4 linked regions of the Yarrowia lipolytica genome follow. The protein of the gene in region 3 binds, or shares a complex with, the protein of the main gene of each other region. Links are inferred from orthologs where the notes say so. Each region holds a gene or a part of one and is shown on either strand. Other genes may lie near its edges.

Evidence for each region.
Region 1: YALI1_B14680g (region 3) and YALI1_D15744g share a complex: the UniProt entries of both Saccharomyces cerevisiae proteins name them as parts of the mitochondrial large ribosomal subunit. The link is inferred for Yarrowia lipolytica from reciprocal best matches to the Saccharomyces cerevisiae genes MRPL4 and RML2.
Region 2: YALI1_B14680g (region 3) and YALI1_E24343g share a complex: the UniProt entries of both Saccharomyces cerevisiae proteins name them as parts of the mitochondrial large ribosomal subunit. The link is inferred for Yarrowia lipolytica from reciprocal best matches to the Saccharomyces cerevisiae genes MRPL4 and YML6.
Region 4: YALI1_B14680g (region 3) and YALI1_F31744g share a complex: the UniProt entries of both Saccharomyces cerevisiae proteins name them as parts of the mitochondrial large ribosomal subunit. The link is inferred for Yarrowia lipolytica from reciprocal best matches to the Saccharomyces cerevisiae genes MRPL4 and IMG1.

The regions. Positions count from the first base shown.
Region 1 is NC_090773.1:1,571,986-1,576,979, forward strand, and holds YALI1_D15744g (mitochondrial 54S ribosomal protein uL2m), read left to right. Parts: upstream 1-2,475; coding exon 2,476-3,747; downstream 3,748-4,994. Other genes in the region: YALI1_D15696g (uncharacterized protein), read left to right, coding at 1-936; YALI1_D15734g (uncharacterized protein), read right to left, coding at 1,000-1,512, 2,049-2,180; YALI1_D15792g (uncharacterized protein), read right to left, coding at 4,658-4,994. UniProt on the Saccharomyces cerevisiae protein: Component of the mitochondrial ribosome (mitoribosome), a dedicated translation machinery responsible for the synthesis of mitochondrial genome-encoded proteins, including at least some of the essential transmembrane subunits of the mitochondrial respiratory chain.
Region 2 is NC_090774.1:2,432,611-2,436,953, reverse strand, and holds YALI1_E24343g (mitochondrial 54S ribosomal protein uL4m), read left to right. Parts: upstream 1-2,652; coding exon 2,653-3,468; downstream 3,469-4,343. Other genes in the region: YALI1_E24360g (uncharacterized protein), read left to right, coding at 945-1,961; YALI1_E24318g (uncharacterized protein), read right to left, coding at 3,672-4,343. UniProt on the Saccharomyces cerevisiae protein: Component of the mitochondrial ribosome (mitoribosome), a dedicated translation machinery responsible for the synthesis of mitochondrial genome-encoded proteins, including at least some of the essential transmembrane subunits of the mitochondrial respiratory chain.
Region 3 is NC_090771.1:1,465,674-1,470,258, reverse strand, and holds YALI1_B14680g (mitochondrial 54S ribosomal protein uL29m), read left to right. Parts: upstream 1-2,236; coding exon 2,237-3,259; downstream 3,260-4,585. Other genes in the region: YALI1_B14733g (uncharacterized protein), read left to right, coding at 1-843; YALI1_B14686g (uncharacterized protein), read right to left, coding at 1,195-1,362, 1,517-1,633; YALI1_B14658g (uncharacterized protein), read right to left, coding at 3,694-4,422. UniProt on the Saccharomyces cerevisiae protein: Component of the mitochondrial ribosome (mitoribosome), a dedicated translation machinery responsible for the synthesis of mitochondrial genome-encoded proteins, including at least some of the essential transmembrane subunits of the mitochondrial respiratory chain.
Region 4 is NC_090775.1:3,172,219-3,176,331, reverse strand, and holds YALI1_F31744g (mitochondrial 54S ribosomal protein bL19m), read right to left. Parts: upstream 1,856-4,113; coding exon 1,310-1,855; downstream 1-1,309. Other genes in the region: YALI1_F31760g (uncharacterized protein), read right to left, coding at 1-270; YALI1_F31733g (uncharacterized protein), read right to left, coding at 2,227-2,982; YALI1_F31725g (uncharacterized protein), read left to right, coding at 3,635-3,693, 3,809-4,113. UniProt on the Saccharomyces cerevisiae protein: Component of the mitochondrial ribosome (mitoribosome), a dedicated translation machinery responsible for the synthesis of mitochondrial genome-encoded proteins, including at least some of the essential transmembrane subunits of the mitochondrial respiratory chain.

The sequences.
Region 1 (4,994 bases), on a different chromosome or scaffold from region 3:
AAGAGAGAGCGGAAAGACAAGAAGAATCCAGCCGTCAAGAATTTTCATCATGCAAAGCAGAAAATATCTCCCGAAGAATATCTTGAAAGCGTGGGTTTGAAGGTAGAGTCTGCTCCTACAGGAGCGCCTCAAAATCACCATTCGCAATTGGAGGCGGATTATCCAGTGAGTGACAAACCCACAATTGTCGGAACTGGCTCGTCCAAGTTGTCTTACCTGGTGTCCAAGACTCTTGTTCTTGTTAAAGATCACAAGATCATTGTTTTTTACGAAGACGTGGACTCAGCCGTCGCTGTTGCTGAGGCCTTTGAAGCAGTAGGGATCAAGCACCTCATTTACACGACAGACAAGGTTTCAAAGGAGAGACGCGCCCAGTATCTCGCCACGTTTGAAGCGACGGACAACTTCCAGGTACTTCTCATGAACATCAACGCTGCTGCGCATGGTCTCAACATCACCTCTGCCTCGTGGGTATTCTTTCTTTCTCCCGTGTGGAGACGAGACATCGAAGCTCAGGCTATCAAGCGAGCTCACCGTATTGGTCAAAAGTCGGAGGTGCACGTAGAGACCCTCGTACTCCAAGATACTCTGGAGGAAGATATTTATCGACGTCGAACGGAGATCTCAGATGCTAATGACGAAACCCCAAAGGAAATGGTTGACGACGACCAGCTGCGAGAAACGCTTCTCAACTACGCTTTAACATCCATGGAGAATCTTCACAAAGGAACGACAGACGAAGTCGCGTTCTTTGACAAGCCTGTCCCGCTGTATATCAAGGTCGATAAACACGACCAGTTTGAGAACTCTCTGGTTCACTTCGAGGGTCTGCCGGTGAGAAAGAAGAGGAAGAAGACTGTGGTTGCTGATGGATTTGCATCTTCCAAGAGGAGTAAGGGAAACTTGGTTAAAAAAGAAACTACTGCAAATAGATAGCATTTTTAATACTACAGAAGTCGAAGTAAGCGTATAACATTCAATCATTTAAATCATGTCTATTTAGATGGGCTCGCTAAGGACGTGGTTGAGTCGAGCAATCTTGGAGGCGACAGAGACGTCAACGGTTCGCTCAGCAACCTCGACAATGAGACCACCGAGGATATCGGGGTTAACCTTGAGGTTGAGCTTGAGCTCACCCTCACCAACGAAAGAAGAGCCAGCAATGGCGGCCTGGATTCGGTTGACGGTCTTCTTGTCGAGCTCGGAGGCAGAGGTGACGGTGGCCTCAACGAGACCCTTGGATGCGTTGACGAGAGTCTCGAACTTCTCAATGATACCGGGGATGAGAGCCAGTCGGTTGTTGTCGGAGATGACGGTCAGGAAGTTGGTGAGAGTCTTGTCTCCACCAACGGCCTGGGACAGGACGTTGACGACAGTCTGCTTGTCCTCGTGAGAGAGGGTGGGGTTAGAGACAATCTGGGCAACCTCGGGCTGCTGAGCGAACACGTCCCGCAGCTTGGCGAGAGAGCCCTCAGTCTTGGAGAGGTCAGACTCCTTGGCGGCGGCGGTGTACTGAGTTAGTAAATAGCAATAGAGATTGGAAGTGTTATCTGGAGTTGGCGTGTTGGGAATTGACGTCGAGCCTTGGAAGAATGTACGAAGTTGGCATGGGAAGAGGGATTGCGCATGTCGTCTTGTTACTCCATAGAGTGTGTGTTACCCCAACATTGAGCAATTAACCTACAGTGACGAGGTTACACGAGGTTACACGCAACAAAAAGGTTGACAAAACACGATATCGAGCTCTGAGAGCTGCTCAATTCGTCGTTAAATCAGCCAGCTGCATGTTGCCTCCCATTGATCCTTCCTCTCCTCCTCTCCCTTCCTGCATTATGTTGAGTAGTGTTGTGCTGGCCTCTACTACAGTACCACCATGATTGCATCCATCCACGTGTCAAGGGTATCATTCCAGTCGAATTGCATCTGCAACACGACCCATCAGGCCAATTCAGTTCTTGTCAATTCCTCGCTGTCGTCGTTTCCAATTGCACCGTTTCCTCCGGGAAAACCGTCCCCTCCATCCTTCCAAAAAACACAATTATACCCACCAGAGCAGTAGCGTAAGTACCGTCGAGGCCGAAGAGCTGGACGGGGACCTTGACAGGGGCGGCGGCCTTGGTGGCCATGGTTCGGGCCATGGGCCGCATGGACATCATTCGAATGGCTCGGGAAGCGAACATCTTGAGGTGTGGTGTTGTGTCTGAGCTGAACTGTGTCGATATGTACACGGGGGAGGAAAACGGGGCGCACCATTTTTCGGTTTGAGCCAATGGGCGTGCACGCTGGGTGGTAGCGTATTTCTGGGCACGCCTCCACACTATAGAGCCCGTACTTGTGGTACCGGTTGGGAGGAATCGTAAGCGGTAAATCAGGGTTGGGGTAGTGCAGGTGCGAAATTTCAAATCATATCACCGTGAACAAGGTGCCAAAAGCGAAAATACTAAACCTCCGTACCGTCGCCCCAACCTCGACAAAATGAACCGACTCGTCTCTCGACACCTGTCGGCCCGAATTGGACGTATCGGAGCGATCCAGCCGGCCATCTCGCTGGCTCCCTTGCGGGCCTTTTCGACCTTTCCCAGACTGCGACAGGAGCAGCAGCCCCCCGTGGCTGAGGACTCGTTTATCGACGAGGAGATCAAGGGCGCCACTCCCAAGCGTCAGCGGGTCCGACCCACTCGAATGAAGCCGTTTGTGGACTCGGAGGCCGCCATGTTTGCCCGAAACACCAGTGTCAGCGACATCACCTTGGTGCCCGAAACGGTCGATCTGACTGCTCTGGAAAAGCAGGATATCTACATGAAGAGCCAGCGCAAGATCACCAAGGCCGCCGTCAAGTTCAAGACCATGACTCCCATCTCGCCCTCCATGCGATGGTACAAGGCTGCCATCTACCCTTACCTGTGGAAGGGCAAGCCCCACCGGGCTCTGACTGTGGCCCGAAAGGCCCGAAACGGTCGGTGTAGCAACACTGGCCGAGTCGTGACTCGACACCAGGGTGGAGGACACCGACGACGAGTGCGGCTCATTGATTTCTTCCGACAGGAGACTGGAGAGTGCGAGGTTGTGCGGATCGAGCGAGACCCCAACCGAAGCGGCCACATTGCGCTCCTCAAGAACAAGGAGTCCGGCAACTTTTCCTACATCACTGCTCCCGAGGGTACTCGAGCCGGTGACACGGTGCAGTCGTTCCTCAACGGCATCCCCCAGAACATCATTGACGAGTTCCACGGCCAGACCGACCCCGCCATGTTGGCCTACCGACTGTGTCGAAAGGGCAACTGTCTGCCCATGTGGATGATCCCCGTGGGTACCGTCATCCACGCCATTTCCACCGAGCCCCACGGCAAGGCCAAGTTCTGCCGAGCTGCCGGAACCTACGGACGTCTCATTGGAAAGGAGCCCGCCAAGAACAAGGCCATCGTGCGAATGCAGAGTGGCGAAGAGCGATACGTGCATCTCAAGGCCTCGGCCACCATCGGTGTGGTGTCTGCTCCTGACCATCAGAACGAGTCGTTCGGAAAGGCCGGCAGATCGCGATGGAGAGGTATCCGACCCACCGTGCGAGGTGTAGCCATGAACGCCTGCGACCATCCCCACGGAGGTGGACGAGGAAAGTCCAAGGGTAACGTGACGTCGCGATCCATCTGGGGCGTGCTGGCCAAGCGATACAAGACCCGACGAGGCAAGCACCAGAACCCCAACAAGCTCAAGGATCGACCTCGATACAAGGAGCAGCGAAAGTAATGTATATAGTATAAGTGAACGGGACCGTATTGAACGAACGAACGAAAACGACTGACTCAAAAGAGTGACCAAAGTATGTACTGGTATGATCAGCTGCCATGGAACTGCAATATATATTGTTGAACCATCTATGTATGTTAACACAATCCATACATCAAGACAGAGGTATAATGTAGACAAAGCAGAGACACGGAACAGAGGGCTTCGTGCAAGTATGATACAACTACTTGTGCTGCACTCGTACCAGTATGGCGGTGGTGTAAGTGGTTGTTAATGTTGCACGTATCCAATCATGCTGAGCGAGCCCTGGAACGAAGAACGCTGCATCTAGTTACTTAGTTAAGATTGTTTGGTTGGTAATAGTTGGAGATAATTCATGCTGATGGTATACATTTCAGGGTTGCTGGCATGTTAGCAAGAAACAAATAGTATCATTACATACAGAATATACAAGATCTGAACAAATAAACGACAATATTTTGCTTTGTAATACTGTTATGCCTCAGTATTCCAGTTTGCAAGATGTGAGTTAGGTTTCGTTGGTTGACGCGTTGTTGGTGAATACTTATACCTTAACTATTAGTCAAGACACATCCTGCAAGTAGTCAGCCTTGAGCCGCGAATATGCCTACTACAGGATCAGAAAAGGCACATACAAGGCACACAAGACGCAATTCAGATACAGTATTCAAGGTGTCTGTCCATAGATATGTCTAGTCTTTATACTATATACGATACTCGTACTTCATGGACCAAACCCAAGCTGGCCCACTGTGTTCCCCTTTAAAAGTCTACATTCACCCAAAAACCCTAGCCCACTCAATAAAACCAATATATATTATAATACTTGAGAAGAACACTTCTCTTTTTTGAACCGAGCGTCGAGTTCATTTGAACCTCTCTTTTTCCTTTAGTGAGACTCATTCCAAGAGTTGGAAGTGGCAGCTTCAGGATGAGCCTCAGCAGGAGCACCTGGAGGAACAGAACCAGGGGCGCCTGCAGCAGTGCCAGCAGCAGCGCCAGCAGCAGCACCCCCTTCACCGTTCATCATCAGATATTGGTACCAGTCGCCAATATTGAGCGATTGAGGGGCGTATCCAAATCCACTGGCCGCGGTGGGCTCGTCCTCGGGCGACGACTTGTAGGTGCCGCCTTCGGTGTGGCTGGCTCCGTCGGCGTGGGCAAACATGTCCGGAGGAAGCGCGCTGGTGGCGGGCTCCTGGAGCTGCGACTGCAGGTTAGACATA
Region 2 (4,343 bases), on a different chromosome or scaffold from region 3:
TACAGTATCTCGGTTAGTTGTTGGCTGCTCCGAAACACCAAAAGTAGATTCCAGTATTTATTTTATCTTTATTTTATTTATTTTCATTCCGCTGAAATAATAAGACGAGCTCGAGTCAGCATATGGAGGGGGCTGGATAGGGCTGGATATCGATATTATCTCATCTGCTCCTTCACACAAGCGTGTCTCACACAGCCCGCTTTTCTGGTTCTCGGCACGGCTTGTTAGTCGAACTCTGCCCCTGAACAATGTGCTTTGCGTGCAGCAAAGGTGATGAGGCGTGATGGATGCAAGCGGTGCCGCGAGTTAGACCAGTGGAGGGAGGAGATTACTGAACGTACAGCACAATGAAGCCCCCGACCGGCATATGTCCACGCATCAGGAGATGTGCTGATGGGTCGGTACAAGTAGACGGCGTGCTTTTAAACAACAGTTGTGGAATGTCCAATCGAGCTTCGGTGGATAGCTGAGTCTTGTGGGACCCCTCACTTGAAGAAGAAGCCGTATAGTTATTGGCTAATGCACAGTGTGCCCGACAGCAACACCAGATTACTTTTTCTCATCACATCCATTTGACTTGCTACAGCTCAACTGCTAAGACCATGTGCAGGACATGCACCGAAGGGGACCCTTTAAGGGGAGCCCGAACCCTGGGTTGCCCGGTTGGGAATGGACTGTGATCCAAGTGGACGCCAAAACGACAGGTCCTGATAGCGTGGACGGCTGTGTGGAGCTAGCTCCGGCCTCTAGGCGAGCATAGAAATGGCTGTTATCTGTGGCTCTTGCGCCAACCACAGTCCCATAGTCTTATCGAGCTCGAAACCCTGAAGCCCCGACCCCGAAACCCACACAGTTTCACATTTACACCTAAATTCGGACACCCCTTCTCCCTCCCCCCATATTACACTCACACTCTCTTCCTTCGCCCCACACGATATGGAATAATGGACGAAGCGTTTCATTTGCAGCCCCACACCCACGTCTCGTCCAAAAAGGTGGTCGACGTGGGTGGCATCCGCACCATGGTCTACGGCCTCGAAGAGCTGCCCAAACGGTGCAAGGCCGTCGGAGTGCTTTACCTGGCCCATCCCAGGCTGCAGAACTACATGTACACCGAATATCTGGCCCACGAACTGCTCTCTCGGTGTCGCGAGGCAGCTGTGGACCGGTCGCCCGAGGCCGACCAGCGAGACCTGCCTGCCACCAACACCGGGATCGAGGCTCTCAAGGCATCCCGACCGCATGTGACAAGAACCGATTCACACACCTCGCGACGGCACTCGTACACGCCCTGGACAAACTACATTGCCGTGACGTTCGATCTGCGAAACCACGGCTCGCGAACTCTCACGGCCCAACGGTCTCTTGATTGGGAGGCAGGAAACGACACCCATGCCGTGGATATGATGTCCATCATCGACGGCTCCACAGACGACCTGCTGCTGGTCATGCAGTACCTGCCAGCAGTGCTGGACGCACAGCTCCGCAACGTGGCACCCAAATGGTACAACATTGTGTCTGGAGTGTCACTGGGAGGCCACATTGCCTGGCGATCTGTGGCCCGCAACAAGGACCAGGACATTTTTGCCATTGCACCAATAATCGGATCGCCCAGCATGCGCACGCTATTCGAGGACCGGCTGGACCAGCACCGGCAAAAGACAGGCTCCCTCAAAAACACCAACCCTCAGTGCCAATACCTGATTCCCGAGCCATTAAAGGACATCATTGCCCGTGACGACGCACGGGTATTTGACATGTCTACAGACACACATGTCTTCATTGCCACCGGTGAGGACGATGCGTTGGTCAAGGACTCATACTCGCATGAGTGGATCGAGCATTTCAAAAAGAATGGCGGTAGCCCCGAGTACGTGTGCCAGGAGGGCGTGGGCCACGTTTGCACAAACTACATGGTGACGCGCTTAGCAGAGTGGATTGTGCGGATTACCAGCGGGTGAGTGACAGTTGGTGCGTGTTGAACAACGCGTAGTGGGAGAGGTGATTCTGGCTATTCGCATTTTTTTCTTTTTCGTCCCCGCAATCGACCAATAACTAATACTAGCAAACCTGGTAGCAAGGTCTAGGTCCGCATAATCGAATATTCAGGGTGCACATCGAGGGGAAGACACAAAAACAACGACGACATTACGATTGAGGCGAACATTGGAAAAATGGTGGGTTCTCTAATCCACAGAACGAGTAATATATCATTGCATGTGCTATACCTTTTAGGTGACCTGGTGTACCGTAGCATGTGTATGACTGTGTACTATATTGATACTACAGTAGGCATGAGTTGTATTTTATCGGGTGAAATCTTTAAAAACTATAGTTCAGGTTGTACTTTGTTCTTTGGTCGGCCTTTGTATATAAATACTTAGAACTGTACGTACTATAACAACAGGACGGTACCCGTATGAAGGGGTACAAGATAAAAGAGTAAGATATGGATGCCGAAAGTTCTAGTCGCTCGAAATAAATCTCCTAATCCATTTTTTTACTCGCGCTGCTTTGATGGTTATAAATCACTATATTTATTTATCCCAGCACCACTGCTCCTCCCGCTCTGCTCACGTGACTCCAGGGTAAAATGTGCACCTGGTGAAAATTCAAAAATCTGCAGCACCATAACCCGAGACGAAACACAACATGATCCGGCGACTAATTCCAGGACTGACCTCCGGGCTACGACGGGGCTTTGCCTCCGAGGCCTCCGGAGCTGCCAAGCAGGCCACCGTCGACACACTGCCCGGCGCAGCAAAGTTGCCCGAGTTCGTTCTCACCTCGGTGCGACAGTTTCCCTCTCTTGAGCCCACACGTCTACAGCCTGTCACCTCGCAAATGCTGGGTGCTCAGGTCCACAAGGATCTGCTGTGGAGAGCCGTGGTCTACGAGGCTGATCGACAGCGAGTAGGAGCCTCCAATCCCCCTGGTCGAGAGCAGATGGGCTACTCTACCCGAAAGCTTCACAAGCAGAAGGGAATGGGTAAGGCCCGAGTCGGTGATGCTGGTTCACCCACACGAACACAGGGAGGTTTCGCGCTCGACAGAAATGCCCCCAACAAGATGGCCACCGGACTGCCCAAGCAGGTGTACGCCTCGGCCATCCGAGCTGCCCTTACGTCACAGTACCAGGAGGGTCGACTTTTTGTAGTTGACGGCCCCTGTGAGCTGCCAGAGTCCGTCAAGGACAACACAACCTTTGGACAACAGTGGCTGCAGGGCGAGCTTGGCTTTGGTAAGAAGGAGATGACCGTTTTCCTGGTTGACACCGAGCGACCCATTCTGGACTCTGTGCTCGGAAAGGACAACCTCAAGGCCGACATTGTGCCCAAGGAGTTCATTGAGGTGCGAGACATTCTCAAGGCCCGAAATGTGGTTGTTGAGTACGACGTGCTCAAGTGGCTGGCCGCCAAGTATCCCACCCGGGATCTCTTCGGCTCCTTCAAGCCCTGGACTAATTAGTGTATATAGTATAAGCATTTTGCTGTTTGATGGCGGCGTGGTAGTCGAGGTGGTGGTTGTTGTGTGGGATACGGTACGAGTACATACTGTACCGGTACAGATGTGTAAGTACGTGCTCGACGATTGTTTTGTACGCTAGTGATATGCTGCTGGCTGGTTGCTGGTTGTCTTGCAAGAAATGAATTAATTCGATATATAAATAACTAGTGTCTGTATCGGAAATAGGGAGACCTGTCGCCCATTTCAGACAGCTCGGCACTGGTAAGATGCTCACATTCGCCCGACTCAATCTTGGCCTGCTTCCTCTTGTTGACAACGTGGTAGCCAAAGTTGAGCACAATGAGAGACACGATTCCAATGCAAACAAACATGATCTCCATACCGTGACCCAGCTTGAACTCGGGCTTGTCTTCGGCTCGGTAAATGTTGGACGCAATGGCCCCAGAGAGGTTTCCAATGCCAATCTGGATGGCCATAGCTACAGCTCGTTTGTATGTACCTGCGACGTTGTTGGACATCCACGAGACAATAGCGGGCAGAGCTGGGTACAGTCCTAGTGCGATGAAGTAGCAGCCCACGTAGACTGCAGTTGGTTTTTTGTGAGACAGGTTGAAGGCCAACAAGTAGCCAAACAGCATGAATAGCAGGTTGACGAGAATGAAGGGAGATCTCTTACCATATCTGTCCGAGAACCAAGCTTGAGTCACCGAAGCTATAGCAGCAATCACGTAGATAGGGATAGTCATGAGCTGAGCTGTGGAGGAGGTGTATCCCAGGTTGTTGACAATGGTGGGAAGGAAGAGGGAGATGCCGTAGAGAGGAACCACAACTCCGAAGTAGAGAAGCAGGTGGACGTAGACCTGGATATCGGTGAA
Region 3 (4,585 bases):
ATTCCTATTGATTTCGTGGGAGGTACTTCCATCGGTTCCTTCATAGGGGGGCTCTATGCCAAAGAATACGATCTGGTGCCCATCTATGGACGAGCCAAGAAGTTCTCTGGACGAGTATCTTCTCTTTGGCGTATGGCTTTGGATCTGACCTATCCTGCCACCTCATACACCACTGGTCACGAGTTCAACCGAGGAATCTGGAAAGCTTTTGGCGACTCCCGTATCGAAGACTTCTGGCTCCGATACTTCACTAACACGACAAACATTACTCATTCTAGAATGGAGATCCACACATCTGGATATGCGTGGAGATACATTCGAGCAAGTATGTCTCTTGCTGGTCTTCTTCCTCCTTTGACAGACAATGGATCTATGTTGTTGGATGGAGGTTATGTTGATAACCTGCCTGTTTCGGAGATGAAGGCTCAGGGAGCCTCCGTGGTATTTGCCGTAGATGTCGGATCTATCGACGATACCACTCCCATGAACTACGGTGACTCCTTGTCTGGTGCATGGGTCATGTGGAACCGATGGAATCCCTTTGGTCGACATCCTAATGTTCCCAACCTGGCAGAAATTCAGGCTCGGTTGGCATACGTATCATCAGTGGGTGCTCTTGAGAAGGCTAAGCACACCCCTGGCGTCATCTACATGCGTCCCCCCATTGACGATTTTGCTACTCTTGACTTCGCCAAATTCCTTGACATCTATAGGGTAGGTAACAAGTACGGCCACAAGTTCCTGACCGAGTTGCGAGAGGATGGCAAGTTTCCTGCTATCCCTGGAATGGAGAATGTTAAGACCAAACATAAGAGAACCATTGCCCGGCGAAATAGTATTTAGGGAGGTTCATCGTTCATCGTATATAAAATAGCTTGTATAAATAGATATACTGTCATAAATCGTGAGGTGAATGCTGGCGTAGTTGACATTTCTCCTATTTGTAATTGCAAGTAAAAGTATTTGTGATCCTGACTCTGTTAACCATTTTTGAAATTCTATAGACAACGGTAGCGACCTTGATGTTCTACTCAGAATAGGACGATCTATGCAGAACCTGTATATTGTCACAATCCTTACACCGCAATTTCATGCGAATACACCTAGGGGCGCCTGTTTCCAGACGTCCTCTAGCCAGGTTACGGCGCTCACAAGCTTGCACTATTCAAACCATCCATTACTATAATACATGCCCTAAGGTCGCTTCGGGGGGTTAGAGGTGACCAGAATGACCGAGTCTCCTCGAACAAAAAGCATTTCGCTCTTCTTCTTTCGGGCCTCCAGTTTTGGACTGCCCTCCACGTACTCGAAGACTGTTTCCTCTACGTTTCCAAGCACCATACTGCAGTGGATATCGTAGGCCTGGGTTAGTAACAGAATGGACTAGGACAGGTCATTAGCGGACAGCAACAGACATTACATTTACACATGTATCATGTTCAGTGGATATGTATCCGATTCATACCGATCTTGACTTGCCTGCCATCTTCTCATTGTCCTTCACATTGCTACTCACATGCAAAAGTCCATAAAGCTCTCGTCCTCCACGGAGCTTGACGAAAACGTTCTCGTTGAGAGAAAGACCAATGAGATCAAGGGGCTCAGAGCCGCCTGAAGTGTCGACGTCGGTCATTGTGATGTGTGGTGTGTCTGTCGATAGATGCTGATTAGTGTCTGAGATGGTGAGAGTATGGGGTTAGGGTAGGTTGGGAGGAGTGTAGAGGTGGCAGCTGGATGTGCAGAAGACGATGTGGTATTGGTATGATAGGAGGTAGTGGTTGCAACAGGGGATGTCGTTAGTGTAACTGATCTCTTAATAGGTGTCTAGTATGTCGCATGGTGGTCGGTCTATATAGCGTCAACACCGTTTCAGGTGACTGTAAGTATAGCACTAGTAGTGGGTAGAAATGTGAGTGGGTATAACTACATACTGTACCAGTAGAGAGAGAATATGGTGCCGAACATCACAAGGAAGAGGGACCATCATGTTTTGGAAGTCCTGACATTGAAAGAAGTCAGATGTTAAGGACTTGACATCTTTTTAATGAACAATTAGGTGCCCTGAAGACCATTTCTATTACTGATCCTCTCTACACGCGTCACATGACATGAAACCCTATTCTGCTAGCACCTACCGAGCGAAATTTGGGAGGTGAAATCCTGTGGGAGAATAAAGTTCCAGATTCCCAAGCGATTTTTTCAACTGACGACTGTATCCAACAGAACATACACAACCATGATCCGATCGCTACACACATCGGCTGTTCGACAGGGTCGTAAGAAGTGGCCCAAGCCGCTGCCCGGCTCCGTGACCGGCAACGAGTTTGTCAAAAAGCTGGAGCTCAAGGCCCCTATTGCGCCTGCTCTGGACAATATCGAGGTACCCGATTCGCATCCTCTGTGGCAGTTTTTTTGCAAGGACAAGAAAATTGTACGGGATCAGCGGAGCTTTGACAGCAGCACGCGACCCTGGAGTGTGGCCGAGCTGCGACGAAAGTCGTTTGAGGATCTCCATGCTCTGTGGTACGTGTGTCTCAAGGAGCGAAACATTCTTCTGAAGGAGGAACGAGTCACCACCCGAATGCACTTTGAGAACCAGAACGGTGGTTACAGAAGCGAGCATGACCGAGTCGGCGAAACCATGGTCAACATTCGACACGTACTGGCCGAGCGATACAGAGCGTTTGAGGAGGTCCAGCAGGTGCTTCCCGAGGTGCGAGCCCAGGCCAACGCCGAATTTGACGAAAAGTACGTCACTGCTGACGCCGTCTACGACAGCGAGCTGTCTCTGGAGCTCGAGCGACACCTTGTCGCCTACTACGGCTTCTCCACCGACCCCCGAGCCAACGCTGGCGTGCAGGTGGACGAGAAGATTATCGAGGCCGTCAAGTACGGTGCCAAGCTCAAGTACGAGCGATACAGCGGAGCCACCGACGAGAACGGCAATCCCATTGCCAACCACGGCTTTGTGCACCAGCCCAAGCGAGACATTTTTGAGCAGTACCTCATGTTCCTGGCTAATGACACCACCGAGGGAGTCGCCGAGGCCCTCAGCTACATCAAACAGTACCGAGAGTCCAACCCTCTGCCCGTGGCTCCCTGGAACGCCATCCGGGTGCTGCAACATCTTGTGGAGGAGAAGATGGGCGCCGCCGCCGTGTTTGAGGAGGCTCTGAAGAACAAAAAGTTGGATCTGTCCGAGCAGGACATTCTGGAGAACATTCCTGCCCAGTTCCTTAACAAGCTCCCCAAGGAGTGATGTATATAAGAGTCATGTATATAGTAACGATATGATAACAGATAGTGGGTAGTGTGTATGAGTGGGAGTAAATGTTGTATATGGGTACAACTGTACTACTGACGATAGTGTACAATTCATGAGTGTTACGGCTGATGAGAATGCTGTGTAGCCTGTCTGAGCGTACAAAGCCTTTCATGGAAGAGGATGTAACTACGGTTACCTCAACCTCCATTACAGTATGTACTTGTAGATCGAAACCATCTCCACTACGAGTACATTACAGTACATTACAGTATTGTCTGTCCAAAAGTACCCTACGCAAGTATTGGTTCATCATGACTTACTGAAATTAGTCATCAAATCGTCAAATGCAAATATATACAGTCTCTGAGTGGTAGAGGATTGCAATGGAGCTTGTCGCTTCTAACCACGGCTCGTTACGCTCTCCGCAGTTAGCCCTCAACAACATCATCAACATACCCCAACTTTTCCTTCCGGGCCTCTCGTCCTCCGTCAGGAATAGCTCCAAAACGGTTAAATGGCCACAGCACCTTGGGACACTTGCCATGCATGAGACCGAGTGACACTGGACCGAAGTTGTTGGAGTCGAACGAATGGATGTTGTCGCCCTCGACCCACACGTGGTTAAAGGGCACAAAGCACGTCTTTTGCGGGTACGGGTGGCGGGTCACAATCTCGTCGCCTCCCACTCCAAGAATCCGCTTGCACAAAAACTTATCCGGATCCATGGGGTTTCGCAGCAGCACCACGTCTCCGACCTTGAGGTAACCGGGCTGTTTGATTAGGAATTTCTGCAACAGCACAATGTCACGCTTGCCAAGATTTGAGTCGGGGTTCAGAGCAGGGGTCATGCTGTTGCCGCTGATATGGCCGAGAAAGTAGGCGTGGTCCAGAAAACATATTGCCACAGGGATCCATGTTGACCAGATGAACAATCTCATAGCCGGTTTCTGGCGCAGTGCCGCCCACTTGCGCGACTTTTGCGCAAACCAATCCTGAAAGCCCATGCTGTTGAAAGAATGTGTCGTTCGTGGGTCTGTGCAGTGTGGTGTGTTCAATGTTCCATATGCATGGCGATGGTTTAAAACTGGGAATGAAATTTCCTGGAGTGAGTGAATGCTGGCGGCCAGAGAGTGATACCGATGTTGTAGAGAAGACATGATAACGAGGAAAGATGGATAGAAATTATCACCTTCGGATGCTTACATTGCGCAGAAAGCCAGAACACGTATGTGCTGTGACATCCGAACAATGGGGTATGTTCTGGTAAAACACTCCCTAAACGGATCACTTGCCATAACTTTACAGTATGTACTTTCTTAG
Region 4 (4,113 bases), on a different chromosome or scaffold from region 3:
GGTGATACCTCGAGCTCGCTCCTCGGGAGCTCGGTCGATAGAATTGTAGTCCAGGAACTTGGCGCCGCCCTTCTCGGCAAGCACCTTGGTGATAGCGGCGGTCAGAGTGGTCTTTCCGTGGTCAACGTGGCCAATGGTTCCAATGTTCACGTGGGGCTTGGATCGGTCAAAGGCAGCGTAACCTCGGGCAAAGAGGACCTTGTTGCTGGCAACGGAGGTGGCCACTCGCTGGGCGGCGGGTCGCACACTAGCAAGCGTTTTGAAGAACATTTCGCGTTGTGGGGTGTGTAATCAGAGAAGGAAGCACAGCTTGATTTTGGGACAACCACTTAAAACTTTTGCAGAACCCCCTTACCCTACTTGTAACTTTAATGGGCAATAGCGGAATTAAGACAAAGGTATTGTAGGGGTATGATAGCGGAGCGAATGATGTGAATACCAATCGCTGGGGGGCGTTCAATTCGGCACCAATTCCTCATTCTACTCCTTCAAAAATTATTTTTTCGCCACTTTCCACTCCTTTGAACATCCCTTCGTTTTCATGCAATAACTTCACATGGTTGCAAGCAAGTTTTCCACTCTGGAAGTGCTTGAAATGAGCATCTCTAGAAGTTGCCTGATTGACGGTTTGGGTTTGAAGGTGCAAGTTGGTGTTTGTCAATCTGGTAGTATTGTTGTGGCCGTCATTGAGTCTCTATATTGTGTAAATAGATGTCACACCACCAACCATCCAATGAGAGGCTGGAACTTCGATGTTGCTAGGTTTTGTCATACGAGCTTTTACTCGGGGCAAAGTAACTTTCAGACTTGAGTCGTTAACGATATGGCCAGTGTTGAAGGCGGAGAATTGAGGGACCGAGGGAGGATCGGAGGAGTGTTTATTGTTTCATTTGGTGATATTGTCAGATGTATCAGCTTTTAAGCAAATTTAAAACAATATTGGTGGATAGATAGTGTTCATGTTGAGTCTTAACTAATGGGACAGTTTAGTTGATACTGTTTATTGGAAAAAGGAGATAAACCTCGAGAGATGAGATGTTCCACTGTATAAGCTACTGTAATTTAGAGCAAAGGGGAACAAATGATCTCACATGGCCGCACTTGTGTATTTGGCATTGATTCAGAAGCCGCCTGACACTGTAAGGAACTGAATGTGACCATGCTCGAATATTGGAACACTGGAGTTGTGACACAGCTGCTCGCAAGCTGCCCATGTTGGCATGTCACATACAAGCACATGTAGTGATCCAGCCCTCCATCATTCCTACTCTCAGCTCTCCTTCCATATCCTTCCATTCACTATATACATTTACTTGAAGAGGAACTTCTTTCGCTTGGCGGCTGCCTTCTTGACGGAGGCCTCGAGATCGCCAACATCCAGACGCTTGTGGCCTCGGATGTAGTACAGACGCTCGGCGGTGTACTTCTGGGTGGCCCGTCGGATAATCTTGACAGACTCGACGGTTGGAGAGAAGATCTTGAATCGTCGGTCGATTCCGATCTTGGTGATCTTAGATCGCAGCAGCAGGTTAGAGGACAGTCCTCGGAAGTCCACCACCATGGTGAGGCCCGTGAACAGAGAGCCATCAGTGGTCTTGATCTGCACAATGTCTCCGGGCTTGATTCGGTCAGCGGATTTGGGGTTCATCAGCTCCATCTTGACGCCCTGGGGATCAAACTGCTTCATCAGCTTGTCAGTGACGTGTGTAAGAGCGTTCTCGGTACCCAGACGTCGGGGGTGTCGCTCGTAGATGTTGACGGTCTTTGGCTCTCGCTTGATGGTCTTGAATGTGGCCATCTGCATCACGGGCAGACGCACCGCTGCCAGCGATGGACGGATCAGTCGAGCCAGCATTTTTGTGCAAGTGTGGTGATGCTGTATACTGACTGTTGGTGTGCTCTAGGGCCTATTTTGGTTAAATTTTCAGTCGCGGTTAGGGTTTGCGGTTTGTAATGCTGGGAAGATGAGTCCGAGACGATGAGAAAACAAAGGGAGAGGGGCTATAAGAATGAATGAGCCGATGCGTCCGTGGTGTTCCTCTACCATATGGCTCGAATACTGTAGTAATTTTCGTCTTTCTACAATGAGTTTGCCTTTGTTGAATCGTTTTGTAATGTTTTCTTGTTTTTCTACAGTTTAGGGCTCTCAAGACGGTACAGAAGAGAAGATCGTGACAAACAAATTGATACCGAGAATGTTTTTGTGAAGATGGCGTCTTGGTGCTGTTATTCTACCCATATTATTTTCTCACAACCAGTTACCAACCGCTCTAATTCAGTCTCATCCAGTCCAAAGTGCTTATTCTGGATCGGTACATACATACAAGTAATGTAGTGCTTGGTCGAGTTTTTCCTCACTCGTACCATGCACCATAATCTGAACCATAATATAATTTGTATCACCAACATCCATCCAGAGCACAACACCACGGTACACAAAACCCTCGCCTCGCCACCACCACCGACATGCCCACTATATTCATCTCCACCCCCAGTGGTCTGAGAGATATCCAGAAACACGTTTTGGCTGATGATGATGTCCACGTCGCTATCGAAAGCGCTCTCAAAGAACTGCCCCCTAACGCCACAGCCAAGGGATATCTCAGCACCAGAGGAGGCCAGAGTCTTGAGAGCCTGTCTGCTGCAGCTGGTGACATCTACTTGCGCTGGAATATGCGTCTTTGCGGTGGAAAGGGTGGTTTCGGGTCCATGCTGCGAGCCCAGGGAGGACGTATGGCCCGAAAGAAGAATAGAAAGAAGACGGAGACGGAGAACGACTCTTTTCGAACGCTGGACGGCCGCCGAATGAAGAGTATCCGGCAGGCCAAGGAGCTTGGAGAGTACCTCAGCACAGCCGACGAGATCAAGAAGAAGGAGGCCGAAGAGAAGAAACAGAAGCTGCTCAACATTCTGCAGAAGGAAAAGACCAGTGGGTCCAGTCGAAAGAGCAAGTTTGAAAACACACGACTGCTGGAAGACCATGAAGATGCCGTTCAGAAGATGCGAAAGGACGCGGAGATGGCTGCTCTGGCTGTATCCGAAATTGATACTGCCTTGTCATCTTCTGCAGGATCTTCCAGCTCGAATGTGAAGGCCAAGGGTGGAGATTTCTTTGGTATGGACTTCAGCGAATCCGAAAGTGAGTCTGAGTCCGACACCGAGTCTATATGAGCCGATAAAGACTCTCTGGGCCTCTACCCGTTAACAATTATTTATAAAGAGATTATTTATTGACAAGCAGATGCCAGCAGCGAAGGAGTAGGGTTCCTGGGGATGGTACTGTATGACATCGAAGCATACATGATAGATTGTACAAAATGTTCTCCACTTTTGGAAGTGCTCCTGGCTTCCATAGAACCGCCGTATGTACAGATATCTCTGTGTGTGAAACAACACGCACGCTATTCAAAACGCCAAGGGTAGTATAACAGCACAGATATCCTAATCGATCCAATGTTTTCGTTCGATCATTTGTGTCCGAGAATTTTCTATACAACAGATTCCTCATTTATTGCACTTTCTTGACTCCATAGATTATCACTACTGTACCGTGCATGACACGTGACTCTCATCAAAATTTAGGTCCAATATGCAAAGTTTGAGAAAACTCCAGCATCAGTTCCATCACCAAAAAATGTCCAGTCAGAACCGAGGCGACCGAGAAATTGATATTTTCGTTGAGCAGTTCATCAGGTGAGTGTTTGAGGGCTTCTTGCTGGAAAAAGAGGGCTCGATGCCTAAACTCGGGGCTGTTGCGAGACCTCGTGACATGGATCACGACATCCTCACCAAGCCGAAACTAACATAGCCAACTGAAACGTCGACAGTTGTCGGGATCACACGCAGTTGCTCTGGCCACGGCACAACTGCTTCTGCGGTTTGTTTCTGCCGCAAGATGGAATCACATTGACTCTCTAGTCAAGGACATTCGTGCCCTGGGAGTGCGTCTGGTGCAGACCGCCCCCAAGGAGATTGCGTGTCGAAATATCGTATCGCGAGTGCTGACACTGATTCGGGAGGAGCAGCACGGCCACAAGGCCGAAAACGGCGGGCTTAGCGGCAGCATGCTGGGTCTTTTGGAGAAGAACGACAAGAAGGAGGAGGTGCTGGACA